3 linked regions of the Zea mays genome follow. The protein of the gene in region 1 binds, or shares a complex with, the protein of each later gene. Links are inferred from orthologs where the notes say so. Each region holds a gene or a part of one and is shown on either strand. Other genes may lie near its edges. The genes, in order: SWR1 complex subunit 2, Actin-related protein 6 and Actin-related protein 4.

Region 1 (4,624 bases):
GCTCTAGATGTCTGCACAGGAGTGTCTTGCCGTGCAGAGCGCACAACAGCAGCACCAGGCGCAGGGCGGTTGGAGGCCCGTGGCATGGAAGACGTAGCCTCTTCCTCCATCGGGAAGTCCTCGGGAATGAAGTCGTGGTGCTCGATGATCTGAACCATGGTGTCGAGCAAGAACACAAGCGAAAAACCTAAAGCCTAACCCCCTACCTGGCGCGCCAAATGTCGGAGAGGAAATTCTCCGGTCGGGTGGCGGAACGCACCCGCCCTAAATCCTAAGTTGAGGAGGGGCCTAAGCGTTTTGCCTGTCTATTGGAAGGTGGAAGAACACACGAGGCACGAGAGTTTAGAGTGGTTTGGGCCGCCGTAGCGTAATACCCTACTCTACTGTCTGTGTGTTGTATTGAGTCTGTGAGCTTGAGAGCTTGTGTGAACTCGAGTGAACTTGTGAGTCGGTCTGAGAGTCTGAGTGAACCTGCCTTGTAACGTTGTGTGACTTCCCATTTATAGCTCAAGGGAGACACATACAAGGATACTGAGCCCCGACATGTGGGCCCAGGAGCAAAATGGAAGGAATACACTATGCAAGTCTGTGGAATGGACATGCCGCTGCCTGCCAGGGGAATGGATAGGTCTCAATAAATGCTGAGGCGGCACATCGCCTGCCAGAGGAATGTACATGTCTCAATAAATGCTGAGGCGGCACATCGCCTGCCAGAGGAATGGACATGCCTCTGCCTGTCAGCGGAATAGACAGGTCTCAATTAATGCAGAGGCGGTACACCGCCTGCCAGTGGAATGGACAGGCGGCGCGCCTTATCCTCATTAAATGCAGAGGCCGCGTAACCCAGAAGCCTTACGTCAGGCTCCGCTCGTCGGCTTACGTCACGTGCAGTAGGCCACGCGGCAGCATCGGGTCCCCGCCTGGGCGGGGAGCAGAAGCGTATACGATAAGGTCTGGACACGTGTCGGCTCCGGACCCCCGCCTGGCCTTGATTAAGGCCTGAGTATTTTCTGTCCCAGAACCCCGGGACCCTGCTGTGAGCGGCCCGGACCCCACACAGAGGGGTCCGGATCCCAGCCTAGGGGTCCGGTTTGCACCCGTGGAGGTCCTAGACCTTACCCGGAGGCTCGGTCTGCATATACAGGGGTTCGATACTTTCCCATGGGGTCCAGACTTACTGTTGACACCTTGGGATACATCATCTTCTCTGACCACGTGGCGGCCCCGGAGCCGTCCACGTGGTGGGGTCGGGTGCTGTTGCTGGCCCAGAGTAGTTACTCGAAGCTGGGGTGAGTCACGGCCTGGCCCCACACACAGCTCCTTTACCACGCGACCAAAGATAGCTGCGTGGGTGCTGTGTCTTCATACAGTAGTAGGGGTAGGGTACCGACAAGATCTAAACAAGCACTACACCTATGTATTTTTTTATAAATAAAATTTGAATATTTTGTAGAACTGAACCTGCCCACGCGACTGACCAAAGTTAATAACCGGGCCGGATGGGCCGGCCCACCGTCGCTGCTAGCTCATTCATTTCTTCTTTCCCTGCCGGGCCCCGGCGGCCTCTCCTCTCCTCGCTTGTCCCCACCAGGCGCCATGGACGCTGGCGACGACGAACCCCCCGTTCTCCTCGACCGCGCCGCCCGCGCCTCCCGAGGCAAGAGGTCAGGCTTCCTCCCGGCGCCGATTCTTGTTCTCTCCCGGTGGCTTGCTCCTGTTTGAGATCGAAATCATTCCTCTTTTTCAGGATAACCAAGCTGCTCGAGGACGAGGTCGAGCAGGACGAGGCTTTCTGGAACCAAGAAGCCCTCAAGGATGTAGGTTGCAGTCGGTCCCCACTCGTTCTTTTCTTTCCCTCCTCTTGGCAGAAACGGATTAGTGCCGCTCCCGCAGCTACTGGGGGATTGATTAGCTTTAGGGTTCTTCTCATTTCTGACTTGCAGTTTCGCGAGTTCCTCCTACCATGTACACACAAACCCTTGTAGCGTGCTGCACTTGTCGTCCCTGACGCGTTGTCATCTCCTCGCAGGAGGAGAACGATGACAACTACGTGGAAGAGCCGGATGCTGGTGACGAATTCGACAGTGATTTTGGTGAAGATGTGAGTTCCTTCCATTCTCCCCCTCCGCATCTCCTGTTTGTCCATTATATCCGTGTTGTGTTCCTAGAGCTGCCATTAGTGTACACATCCTTTCCCATCCTTTCTAGTTTAGCATCTCACCGAGTATTCGAGTGCCTTATGCCAACATCTCTGTACCTACACAGGAATCTGAAACTGATGATGAGCCGGAGAAGGAAGTACGCGAGAGGTAAACATATTCCTTGCTGTTAACCATGCTGGTAGATTTCATCATGTGAACGTTTGTTACTAATTCCCCTCCCATGCCCGTCTCAACTATCAAATAGATTACCTATCAAGAAACGGCTAATGTTTCCTGGCAAGACGCTGAGGAAGACCAACGTCAAGAAGAAGAAGGCGACCCCAAAACCAGAAGATGGCACAAAAGCCGACAAGTCTGCTGATAAGCCGAGTTCATCCACACAAGCAGATCTTCCTGATGAACTGGAGGCTGAGAAGGCCATCCGGAAATCAACCAGAACGTCGGTCATCGTGAGGCAAGCTGAAAGAGAAGCGATACGTGCTGAAAAAGAAGCAACGGCCAAGGTATGTACCAGATGTTGCAAGTTCTCCACCGCTGTTATCAGACGTTGTAATTCCATTGAGCATTTGAGATACTTGTGTAGGACATAATGTTGTGCTACTTGGATTAGTTCGTCTGCTGTGGCATTTTTTGGAATTTGTGTTGGCTTACTTGTTACTCTCTGCTGTACCTTGCCAGCCGATTAAGAGAAAAAAGGAGGGAGAAGAAAAGCGGATGACACAAGAGGAGATGCTTTTGGAAGCAGCTGAAACAGGTTTAGACAATGTTTCACTTGTACCGTTATCCAGAAATACACAGATGGAGTTTGCCAGCATGCCTTTTACATTTTATTCGTTTGTTGTCTATGTTTCTAGAGATCATGAACATGAGAAATCTAGAACGTGTCCTGGCAAGAGAGGAGGAAGTGAAGAAAAAAGCTGTTGTTCATAAGGACACTTATGAGGGTCCTACAATTCGTTTTTTCTCAAGAGATGGTAATTTCTTTATTGGATTATCATCACTCACTTGTTTGCATATGAATTCTGAATTTAGAAAATCAGGAGTTCCTTACTTGATCATCAGTATTGTGCTCAATTAGGGGAATCACGTCTGGAATTCATAAATGGAGCATCATTTGGGTCTGAACTTTGTACAACATCATCTCCTTGTAAGTGCCACAGTTTTGTTCGTACTCTATTATCTGTTCTTTGTTGCTAGCAGTTCCTTTAAAATGTGTGTGTGCTGAGAAGTTCTGATTCAGTTTGCTTTGCTAAGTCTAGTTCTTTTGGAAAATATTTCTGTTTATTACAGATCCGGAGAAACCTGTTTGTGTGGTGACAGGACTTCCAGCCAAGTATGGTTTTCTGACCCCTGTTTATGATATCCCTTCCTGTTCCTTGCATTCACACACGAGTTTCAACCCCTCCCCCCTGTTTTGTTGTTCATATATGTTTCATTTTAATACAAGTAATAGATTAGATAGACACGAATCCTTCAATGTTTAGTAGCTGCATTATCTTTGACTGTGGTTTTTATATGTTCTGGATCACTCAGATCGTACCACTACCAGTGTGTGTATGGTCTGGAAACCCCGAGACATCTTGTGGCTTTAATTCTTAGATATTTTACCACGAACCATGGAAACAAGTTCAAGTGTGCCTACCTGACGGTTGCTCTTTGTTTAGAAATCTGAAATGCTATGGCAGAAATAAACCTGAGGCAGGACTACATATGCCTACATAACCAATTTAATTAGTATAATAAATAAGCAGTTTACACTAGACTCTTGAGGGACGTTTATGCTTATGTGAGGCTTGCTTCCTGTAGATACCGTGATCCGAAGACAGGGCTGCCTTATGCAACTATGGAAGCATTTAAAATAATCCGGGAGAGGTACATTTTGTTTGTTCTCATAGATTCCTACTTTGCTCTGACAGCTAAGTCGTAAACCACTTGCCTGCAATGTTTCTTAAGAAAAATACTGCTTTCTATCTGGATGCGCAATCAAAACTTGCTAACATCTCTTCAACTGATCCATGCATTCAGTTTCCTGAAAGAGGAGGCTGATAGAAAGCGTCCGAACATGTCGAATATGGGAGAGCTTTTCGAATCAATAACTGGTGGACACTTGATGCCTAAGAAGAGAAGGGTTGAGATAAGGTCTCCGAACATGTTAGGAGGCTCTAGGCATGGCGGGCGTACCTGGCGAATACCTGCTTTTGATATGGTGGACGAGGACTAACGAGACAGATCCCGTGGCTCCCAATATGTCGAATATGAGAGATCTTTCTAAATCAATAGCCGGTGAAGAGGAAGATGGATAGGATGTTGTATTTAGTGTTAGATCTTGTGCTTGTAGTTATCTTAATGTATTTTTGTCAGTTGATAAATTCATGGTTATTAAAGTGGTAAAACGTTAAAATGTTATGAAACAACTTTTTAATATTTTAACGTTTAAACGAACGTTGAAACGTCTTTTCAGA
Region 2 (4,401 bases), on another chromosome or scaffold:
TGTATGTAAATGGAAATGATACCTCTCAAAAAGCACAGGTTGAAGATATGGATGGCAAGCTTGTACAGCACGAACTATACACTCAGCAAGCCCAGCTTGATTTATGCCTACAAATATGCACAGCAGAGATTAGTATGGCAACAAATGAGAAGCTTAGATAATGTGCTAACATAGCAGAGTACAATTGTTATGAAACTAACATTACTACTGTGCGGAAGAAAGATGGACAAAACAATGAAACTCTTCTGTTCTATTGTTTACCAATGTTAAAGGAAAAACAGAATAGTTGATGTAAATTCACCAAGATGTGATTAATATGCATATGAAGTTATGAAGGTCAACTGAATTGCTACTTTTGAGTCACTGGCAAGGGATATTATCCGAGTAGTAAACTAGTAATTGAGATTAGGTATGTCAATGGTTTTGCATTCCAATGTTAAGGGCAAATCCTCCCCATCAGGAAAATGAATTGGTGGTTGGTCATGTGCAGATGGGAAGAAATAATTATTGTGCTTTGCAATGGTTTTAGGAAATACACTGAAAAGTAGCATGAGACCGATATGCTGTTCAATAACTTGAGAGCACATATGAGAGAATATATTCAAAATCTTATGAGCAAAAGTACACAGGACATAACATTGTCACTAACCAAGATCAATGGGATGAAAAAGCATCTCTGGGACAAGGAACCTCTCGTTTGTCAAGACAAATTCCTACAGAGTTAAAATCTCATCAATGATATCATAATACCACATGGCAGCCAATACCAAGGAGGCGAGGATGTTACATTTTGACTTAATTCTGCCTTTTTCCGATCCTCGGACTTATTTGTATCCATACCATGGTCTTTGCTATCTGATACTTGAGGCAGGGTGCGATATCTAAGTGCTTCATCCATATCCTTGACAAACCCTTTCTTGTATGTTATACCATCAGGGAGAATATAAGAACATCTAAAAGGGTTATCCTTAAATGATAACCTGCCCAGAAATTGCACAGCAAGCTGCTAAGAGATTTGAGTAGCATAAAATCCCATAGTTTAGTCAACTCATTAGTAGGTCCCCATTTCAAAGGAATGTGATTTTACATCATTTAACTCATTCTTTCTTCCCTAATACAGCACAATATATTTTAAGAAAATGCCTCTAAACAACTTTCAAGCAAAGGAAACATGTACTTAATAACATTCTCTTAGCATCCGTCGACATTAATGGCATCTGGATTCTGGAGTTAGCATTGTAAATTCAGGGTGCTTTACGAAGACACTATAAACAACAATATGAGAAAACAAAAGTCCCAAGTATAGGATAGTCCCAAAAACACATTCCAGTGTCCTTAGGTTAGTTATCTATTTGTTTGTTTGACAAAGATAAGTTTTGTGTTCTTAAAATTCAAATGCTAAGGTCTTTCAAGCCTTCTAATGCCTATAGTGAAGTTTCAGCTCAAAATGCTAGTTCACCAGCTCCCACAAAAACATGTGTGCATGCACAACACCTCTAGTTCTGGAAGCTACAAAATCCAGTTTGTCAAAAAAGGTTATCAATGTGTGCACTTAAATTGGTTAAACAGACAAAGTTCAAACACTAGATGTTCCTAGATGGCCCAACCTTTAAATTTATTCAGAACTTACATGAAACATTAACCCTAAACAAACAAAAGAAGGGTTGGCACATGAAAGGTTATGAAGACAGCTGACCTGGCAAGGTGTAGATCACCAGGGACATCAAGCGAGACAAAACATAGCTTTTCCTTTGCATCATCAATGAGGAGAGTTTCATCCATAACATTAAGGGAACGGTATGAGACGAGCTCCTTGAGATAGTTTGTAAGGGCCTTGCCGCCAAGGTCCATACGCCGAACACCATAATTAAGAGTAAAGTTCTGAAGTACAGGGGATGCATGGGTGAAAGAGAAGCCACAGTCAACAACAAGGCTGCATTGGGCACGAAACATCATTGGTTGTCGGCTAGCCTCATAAAGGTGGACAAGGGAAGGACCATCTGCAACATAAAGCGAGTTGAAGCCAAACTCCTCGAACACTAGCTCATCAGTTGCATGCTGTATCGCTGGAGGGTTAAACATGGGTTCCACCAGTAACAAGGACGAGTTAGTAGGATCAACCTGGAGAAGATTGCGCAAAACCCGTTCCCACACATCCCTCTGCACCTCGGTATTGATAAGATAGCCACGGTCAATAGGACGCTTCAAAGTCATGCCAGTCACATCGACATCTTCTGCCTGCAGCTGGTCAGCCACAAGCCATTTCTTCGAGCTGGCATTGCCACCAGGGGGTTTGGCCATACAGTTGGGGACAACAGCAATTGGATCATTGTCCCCCCCAAAGCCAGCCTTGAGAAGACCACCCCCATTGTCTATCACCACCACACCCGATCCACCCGTCATTGAATATCCCTATCTTAGTTCAACCTCTTCTGAGTGCCAGGAGTACCCGACAGCAATCGATTAAGCGACGATTGATCGCCGTTTAAGCGTTTAATGCCCCCCCAGGCCACACAGTTGCGCGCGTCGTTCCCCTGTCCCAGCCGATCGTGCGGAGAACTCACCTCTCTCGTCCGTACCTGTCTCTGCCGCTACAGGATCCGCCTGTCCGCCACACTCCAAGCCCTGCGCGTCCGCCACTCCTTGGCTGGAAGTGATCGACCAGTGGCTGGCGGCGTTGGTTTGCCCAGCAGACGAAAGAGAACAAAGGAAAGGGGAACGGGAGATGGCGGCGGTATAGGGCGCTTGGAACGGGGGTTCATGCCTTCAGGGAGTAGGACGGGAGGTGGATGGGATGCCCGGCGGCGGCACTTGGCGCAGGGGACTTGCGGCGAGCATGGCGTGGCGGCCGCGTCAGGGTTTCGAGGAAGACGGAAGACCAGCCAGGGCTGCCGCACGATGTGGGCCAGCAAAACAGATGGGCCTTCACCGCCGACAGGAATGAAGAAGAAGAACTAGGGCACTTTCGTGGGCCAGCAGGCGCTTGTGGCCTCCGCGGCTCCGCCGGATGAAGAACAGGAACGCCAGGTGGGCTTAAAGACCTAGGCCTATTTGGATTCGTAGTCAGGTACTGAAGTAGTCAGGTGGGTTTGCTTAGACTCTCGACAGCGGGCGCCTCTTCGTTCAGAAAGTATACGTAATCTCTAGCCTTCAGAGCATGCTCTACTTCACCCTCTCACTTTTAAAACCAGATGTTTAACCATCTAAGAGCTAGTTTGAGAACCCCATTTACCCAAGAGATTTTATTTTCCCAAGAGAAATCAGTTCATTTTCACTTGATAAAATGAAAATCACTTGAGAAAATGGTTTTCCCAAACTAGCCCTAAACTTTATAAAAGCGGACAAATAACCTCCAAATAATTTTAGTTAACTGTTATGATGACATGACACTTGTTTAAATGGAACTATTTTGTCTTTTTTTAATTCTGTTTTTTCTACTACCATCAAAATTTTATACAATTTTACACAAATCGATAATTAGATATTATGTTAGCTGTAATTTTCTATAACATTTCTAGAAGCCATTTAATTACTAAAAATAAAAAAACTACACAAAAATAACTTAAGAGTTTTGTCTCTGATTCATTTATTATCTTATTAAGCTAAAACTTTTACTAGAGTTAAACAATACTATTCATAAACTACAAAATTTTGTGTTGCTTTTATTAAGAAAGATAGGTGTCCTTTCGTCTAATTAATAATTAAATTAATTTTACATTTGTTTTTTAGAAACACCTAGTAACAATAAAAAATGATCTCCATTTTTTACATAGATTATCTCTTAGCTAAACTAATATATACAAATATTTTCAGATTTTTTAAGAACATTAAATCTAAACCTATATAAAATTCTGAGAAATATTTACATATTTATGGGTCTAGATTTAAAATTCTCAGAAAAATCTGGAAATATTTGTGTATGTTAGTGTAGATAGGAGAAGGTTTGTGTAAAAAATGGAGATTATTTTATTAGTGTTTGGTAAGTTTTATAAAAAACAAATGCAGAACTGATTTAGATAATAATTAGAAGAAAGACCACTTAACTTTCTTAATAAAATCAACAAAAAAAATTCTTAGTTTAGTAATAGTGTTGTTTAGCTCTAGTAAAAATTTTGGTCTTATCAAAGAAGAAATGAATCAGAGACAAAAAAATATTAAGTTCTCTTTATGTAGCTTTTTTGTAATTAAACTATTACTTCTAAAATTTTACAAAAAAATTATGGTGAGTATAATATCTAATTACCAAATTTGTGTAAAACTACATAAAATTTGACACTTGTAGAAAATAGAATTAAAAAAGACAAAATTGATGTCACTTAAATCAGTGCAACATCATTAAAATGTAACATCTCAAATCCATCAATTAAAAGTAAGTTAATATTAGTTGCTAAACCTAGTAGA
Region 3 (3,930 bases), on another chromosome or scaffold:
TTTGAGGGAGCTGGGGGAGTAGGCAACTCTTCTCCGAGCAGGTCTACCCCAGCCCCCAAGTCTCCACCGACTCCAGCGCCACACTCTCCAGCTCCTGCTACAACGAGCTCTTCACCACCACGCACTCCAGCCACGACTCCGGCTACAGCGAGCTCTTCGCCACCACGTACTCCAGCACCGGCGGTACCCTCTCCGGGAACGTCCTCTCCGACACCAGCTCGTGTCGAGCACGACCCAGTGGAGCTCGTGACCCCTCTGTCCCGCGACGAGGAGCGCGTCGACGCGTGCTACGACGGCGAGCCGTTGCGGTATCGAAGGGTGGAGGGCCTTCTCATCGACCCATCGGTGCCAGGCCCTGCATCTCGCATTCTGGCAGGAGAGTTGCATCTTGCATGCGACGATGGTGAGCCTCGGTCTTTCGCGGAGGCCGAGAAACATGCGGCTTGGCGTGCCGCGATGCAGTCGGAGATGGACGCGGTTGAGACGAACCGCACTTGGGAGCTCGCTGATCTCCCTCATGGTCATCGCGCGATCACCCTTAAGTGGGTGTTCAAACTGAAGAGGGATGAAGCCGGCGCCATCGTCAAGCATAAGGCTCGCTTGGTGGCACGCGGTTTCTTGCAGCAGGAGGGGATCGACTTCGACGATGCCTTCGCCCCTGTAGCACGGATGGAATCCGTGCGACTCCTCGCGTTGGCAGCCCTGAAGGGCTGGCATGTTCATCACATGGATGTCAAGTCGGCGTTTCTTAACGGCGACTTAAAGGAGGAGGTCTACGTACACCAGCCGCCAGGTTTTGCGATCCCTGGCAAGGAGGGCAAGGTGTTGCGTCTGCGCAAGGCTCTCTACGGCTTGCGACAGGCACCAAGGGCGTGGAATGCCAAGCTGGATTCCACGCTCAAGAGGATGGGCTTCATGCCAAGCCCGCACGAGGCGGCCATCTATCGGCGGGGCAATGGAGGAAGTGCCCTGCTGGTGGGTGTCTACGTCGACGACTTGGTGATCACCGGCGCCAAGGATGCAGAGGTGGCAGCGTTCAAGGAAGAGATGAAGGCCACCTTCCAAATGAGTGACCTGGGGCATCTCTCCTTCTATCTGGGGATTGAGGTGCACCAGGGAGACTCCGGGATCACACTTCGCCAGACCGCCTACGCCAAGCGCATTGTTGAGCTGGCTGGGCTCACCGACTGCAACCCAGCCCTCACTCCGATGGAGGAGAGGCTGAAGCTGAGTCGCGACAGCACGACGGAGGAGGTGGATGCTACACAGTACCGGCGTCTTGTGGGGAGCCTTCGCTACCTCGTCCACACACGGCCTGACTTGGCATACTCCGTCGGCTACGTTAGTCGGTTTCTGCAGCGACCGACGACGGAGCATGAGCAGGCTGTGAAGAGGATCATCCGCTATGTTGCGGGGACTCTCGACCACGGTCTCTACTACCCGAGGTGCCCTGGGGAGGCACACCTTGTCGGGTACAGCGATAGCGACCACGCCGGCGACATCGACACCAGCAAGAGCACAAGCGGGATCCTCTTCTTCCTCGGCAAGTGCCCCATCAGCTGGCAGTCAGTCAAGCAGCAGGTGGTGGCCATGTCCAGCTGCGAGGCCGAGTACATAGCGGCGTCCACTGCTTCGACTCAGGCGCTCTGGCTGGCTCGCCTGCTCGGTGATCTCCTCGGGAGAGACACTGGAGCGGTGGAACTCAGGGTGGACAGCCAGTCCGCTCTGGCATTGGCCAAGAACCCCGTGTTCCATGAACGGAGCAAGCACATCCGGCTGAGATATCACTTCATCCGAGACTGCTTGGCAGAAGGGAGCGTCAAGGCGCGTTACATCAACACCAAGGATCAGCTTGCAGACCTGCTCACCAAGCCCCTTGGGAAGATCAAGTTTGTTGAGCTTTGCTCCAGGTCCGGGATGGCCCAACTTTCCCACAAGACGACGCACAAGACTTAGGGGGAGAATGATGGAATAAGTCATGTGGTCAGCAGCAGTTGCAGTTTTGACTGCTGCAGGACAGCAGTAGCAGCAGTCTTTTGACTGCGCAGCAGCAGCAACCTTTTGACTGCTGCAGGACAGCAGCAGTTACAGCAGGACAGCATGCAGCTGCAGTTTTTTGACTGCGCAGGACAGCAGTAGCAGCACAGCAGTTTTGACTGCACTTTAGTATCTAAAGGACAGCACCTGTGTGCTGCAGCGTGTAGTGTAGTGTGTAGTGCAGTGTAGTGCAGCCCCTAGGGCTATAAATATGTGTCCCCAACCCCTCTAAGGGTATGACATTGTGTAGTGTTTGAAGAAATAAACAGAAAATTGCCCCAACTCATAGTGTCATCCTCTGATGAGAGTTAGAGTCCCTCTACTTACATACCACAGATTCTTCCCACAGCCAGATTTTCAGAAAAGCTGGTCAGAAAAAAGCTGAACCAAACAGGCCATAAAAGGTGCTTTAAAATTCTCATTTCAATATAATTTAATAATTCCCACTATGAAACTATTACAAATGAAATGGTGGGAGTATTTTAGATTGTTTTGTACATATTTTCCGTATTTTGCGACCTTAGTTGATATTGATAACTATGAAACAATTCTCTTTGTTCATGTTGGTTAGAAATGGTGAAGTCGCTCTTTACTCATTTTTAATGCTAGCTATTATTACCACATTGAATTATTACAGGAGTCTCCTCAAGCTGCTCGTGTCAAGGTTATGGCAAGCGGAAACTCAGTAGAGAGACGTTTCAGGTCAGACTAGAATATTTATTTATTAGGTTATTGCTGGCACTTACAAATGACATGGCTGAATTGTTGGAGAATTGACATGCAGTGTTTGGATTGGAGGGAGCATTCTAGCATCTCTTGGGTCGTTCCAGCAGATGTGGTTCTCCAAAGCAGAGTAAGCTCGATATTTGATAGGCCCTCTGTTTTTTCTATACTTGCCCTGGACACCTGATGAGGCGTGCCATGTGTCTCGCGCCAGGTATGAAGAGCATGGGGTTTCCTATATTCAGAGAAAGTGCCCTTGAAGCAGGGGAAGGAATATGTACAACCAATATTATGCTTTACGAGCCTTATTGTTGCCAAAGGGTTCCTTGTGTACAACAGCCTGGTGCCTTGCCATGTTGGCCAATGAATACTCGAGACTCTTTTCAAGTGACGTTTGTTGTCTTCATGGCTAGTTAATTTTAGGTGATGTAAGGTGAACGTAAGAACTAGGTCAACTAAAATATTTATCATTGACAGTATGCTGAATCTGTCTCCCCTTCTGTAGAATGAGACGGGACCCCATCTTGTTCTGTACCGGGGCTAATTCTTTGCCAGCACACAAAGAGCCAAGACGATTGTTGTAACTCGGGTTATTTAAATCCCAGCTGCAGAGCAAATACACAACTTTAAACGTGTAGCGAGCAGGCAGAACAACGATGCCGCAATCATTCTGTCCGTAATGTCTGCAACCACGATTGCTAGTGCGGAGGGATGAACAAGCTATTTCTTTATTAGGTCATGGGAATGCTGCCAGGCGTTTGCCTTCATTCCTAGATGTGTACGTACAAAAATGAAAAGAATACACCCCCAGGCTCATCTCCCAGCTCCCAATCTGCTGCTGCTGCTGCTTTGGCACAATAGATTCAGCACAGTATGTATGTGCAAGTAATGTGTCACTGTATCCGTCACGCCATTTCAGCACAGTGTGTCCAACCGTTCGAGGCCTTTTTTTTTGTTGGCTGTAAAGAGACGAAACGAAGCTGCTAATCTCTGGCCGCCTTGTTTCTCCAAGCAACGATCGAGTTGGGGATGTTGTCGAGGAGAGGCTTGGGGATGCTGTCCAGGAGAGGCTTGGAGATGCCGTCGAACAGCGCCAGGGTGAAGGCATAATCCGGTTTCAGGTTCCACTTGCTCTTCAGCCACGCCGAGGCGAGGCTGACGCTGTCCGAA

The links.
Region 2: SWR1 complex subunit 2 (region 1) and Actin-related protein 6 share a complex: the UniProt entries of both Arabidopsis thaliana proteins name them as parts of the SWR1 chromatin-remodeling complex. The link is inferred for Zea mays from reciprocal best matches to the Arabidopsis thaliana genes SWC2 and ARP6.
Region 3: SWR1 complex subunit 2 (region 1) and Actin-related protein 4 share a complex: the UniProt entries of both Arabidopsis thaliana proteins name them as parts of the SWR1 chromatin-remodeling complex. The link is inferred for Zea mays from reciprocal best matches to the Arabidopsis thaliana genes SWC2 and ARP4.

What each region holds. Positions count from the first base shown.
Region 1 is NC_050101.1:6,996,052-7,000,675, forward strand, and holds SWR1 complex subunit 2, read left to right. Parts: upstream 1-1,527; 5' UTR 1,528-1,596; coding exon 1,597-1,664; intron 1,665-1,747; coding exon 1,748-1,817; intron 1,818-2,029; coding exon 2,030-2,101; intron 2,102-2,265; coding exon 2,266-2,309; intron 2,310-2,406; coding exon 2,407-2,665; intron 2,666-2,840; coding exon 2,841-2,916; intron 2,917-3,016; coding exon 3,017-3,136; intron 3,137-3,240; coding exon 3,241-3,309; intron 3,310-3,452; coding exon 3,453-3,495; intron 3,496-3,968; coding exon 3,969-4,034; intron 4,035-4,187; coding exon 4,188-4,383; 3' UTR 4,384-4,574; downstream 4,575-4,624. UniProt on the Arabidopsis thaliana protein: Component of the SWR1 complex which mediates the ATP-dependent exchange of histone H2A for the H2A variant H2A.F/Z leading to transcriptional regulation of selected genes (e.g. FLC) by chromatin remodeling.
Region 2 is NC_050105.1:40,330,692-40,335,092, forward strand, and holds the start of Actin-related protein 6, read right to left. Parts: upstream 2,821-4,401; 5' UTR 2,404-2,820; coding exon 1,697-2,403; intron 981-1,696; coding exon 788-980; intron 714-787; coding exon 650-713; intron 108-649; coding exon 23-107; intron 1-22. UniProt on the Arabidopsis thaliana protein: Component of the SWR1 complex which mediates the ATP-dependent exchange of histone H2A for the H2A variant H2A.F/Z leading to transcriptional regulation of selected genes (e.g. FLC) by chromatin remodeling. Binds to the promoter region of FLC chromatin.
Region 3 is NC_050096.1:2,967,564-2,971,493, reverse strand, and holds the end of Actin-related protein 4, read left to right. Parts: intron 1-2,674; coding exon 2,675-2,739; intron 2,740-2,821; coding exon 2,822-2,890; intron 2,891-2,974; coding exon 2,975-3,020; 3' UTR 3,021-3,352; downstream 3,353-3,930. Other genes in the region: peptidoglycan-binding LysM domain-containing protein, read right to left, coding at 3,744-3,930. UniProt on the Arabidopsis thaliana protein: Involved in several developmental processes including organization of plant organs, flowering time, anther development, flower senescence and fertility, probably by regulating the chromatin structure.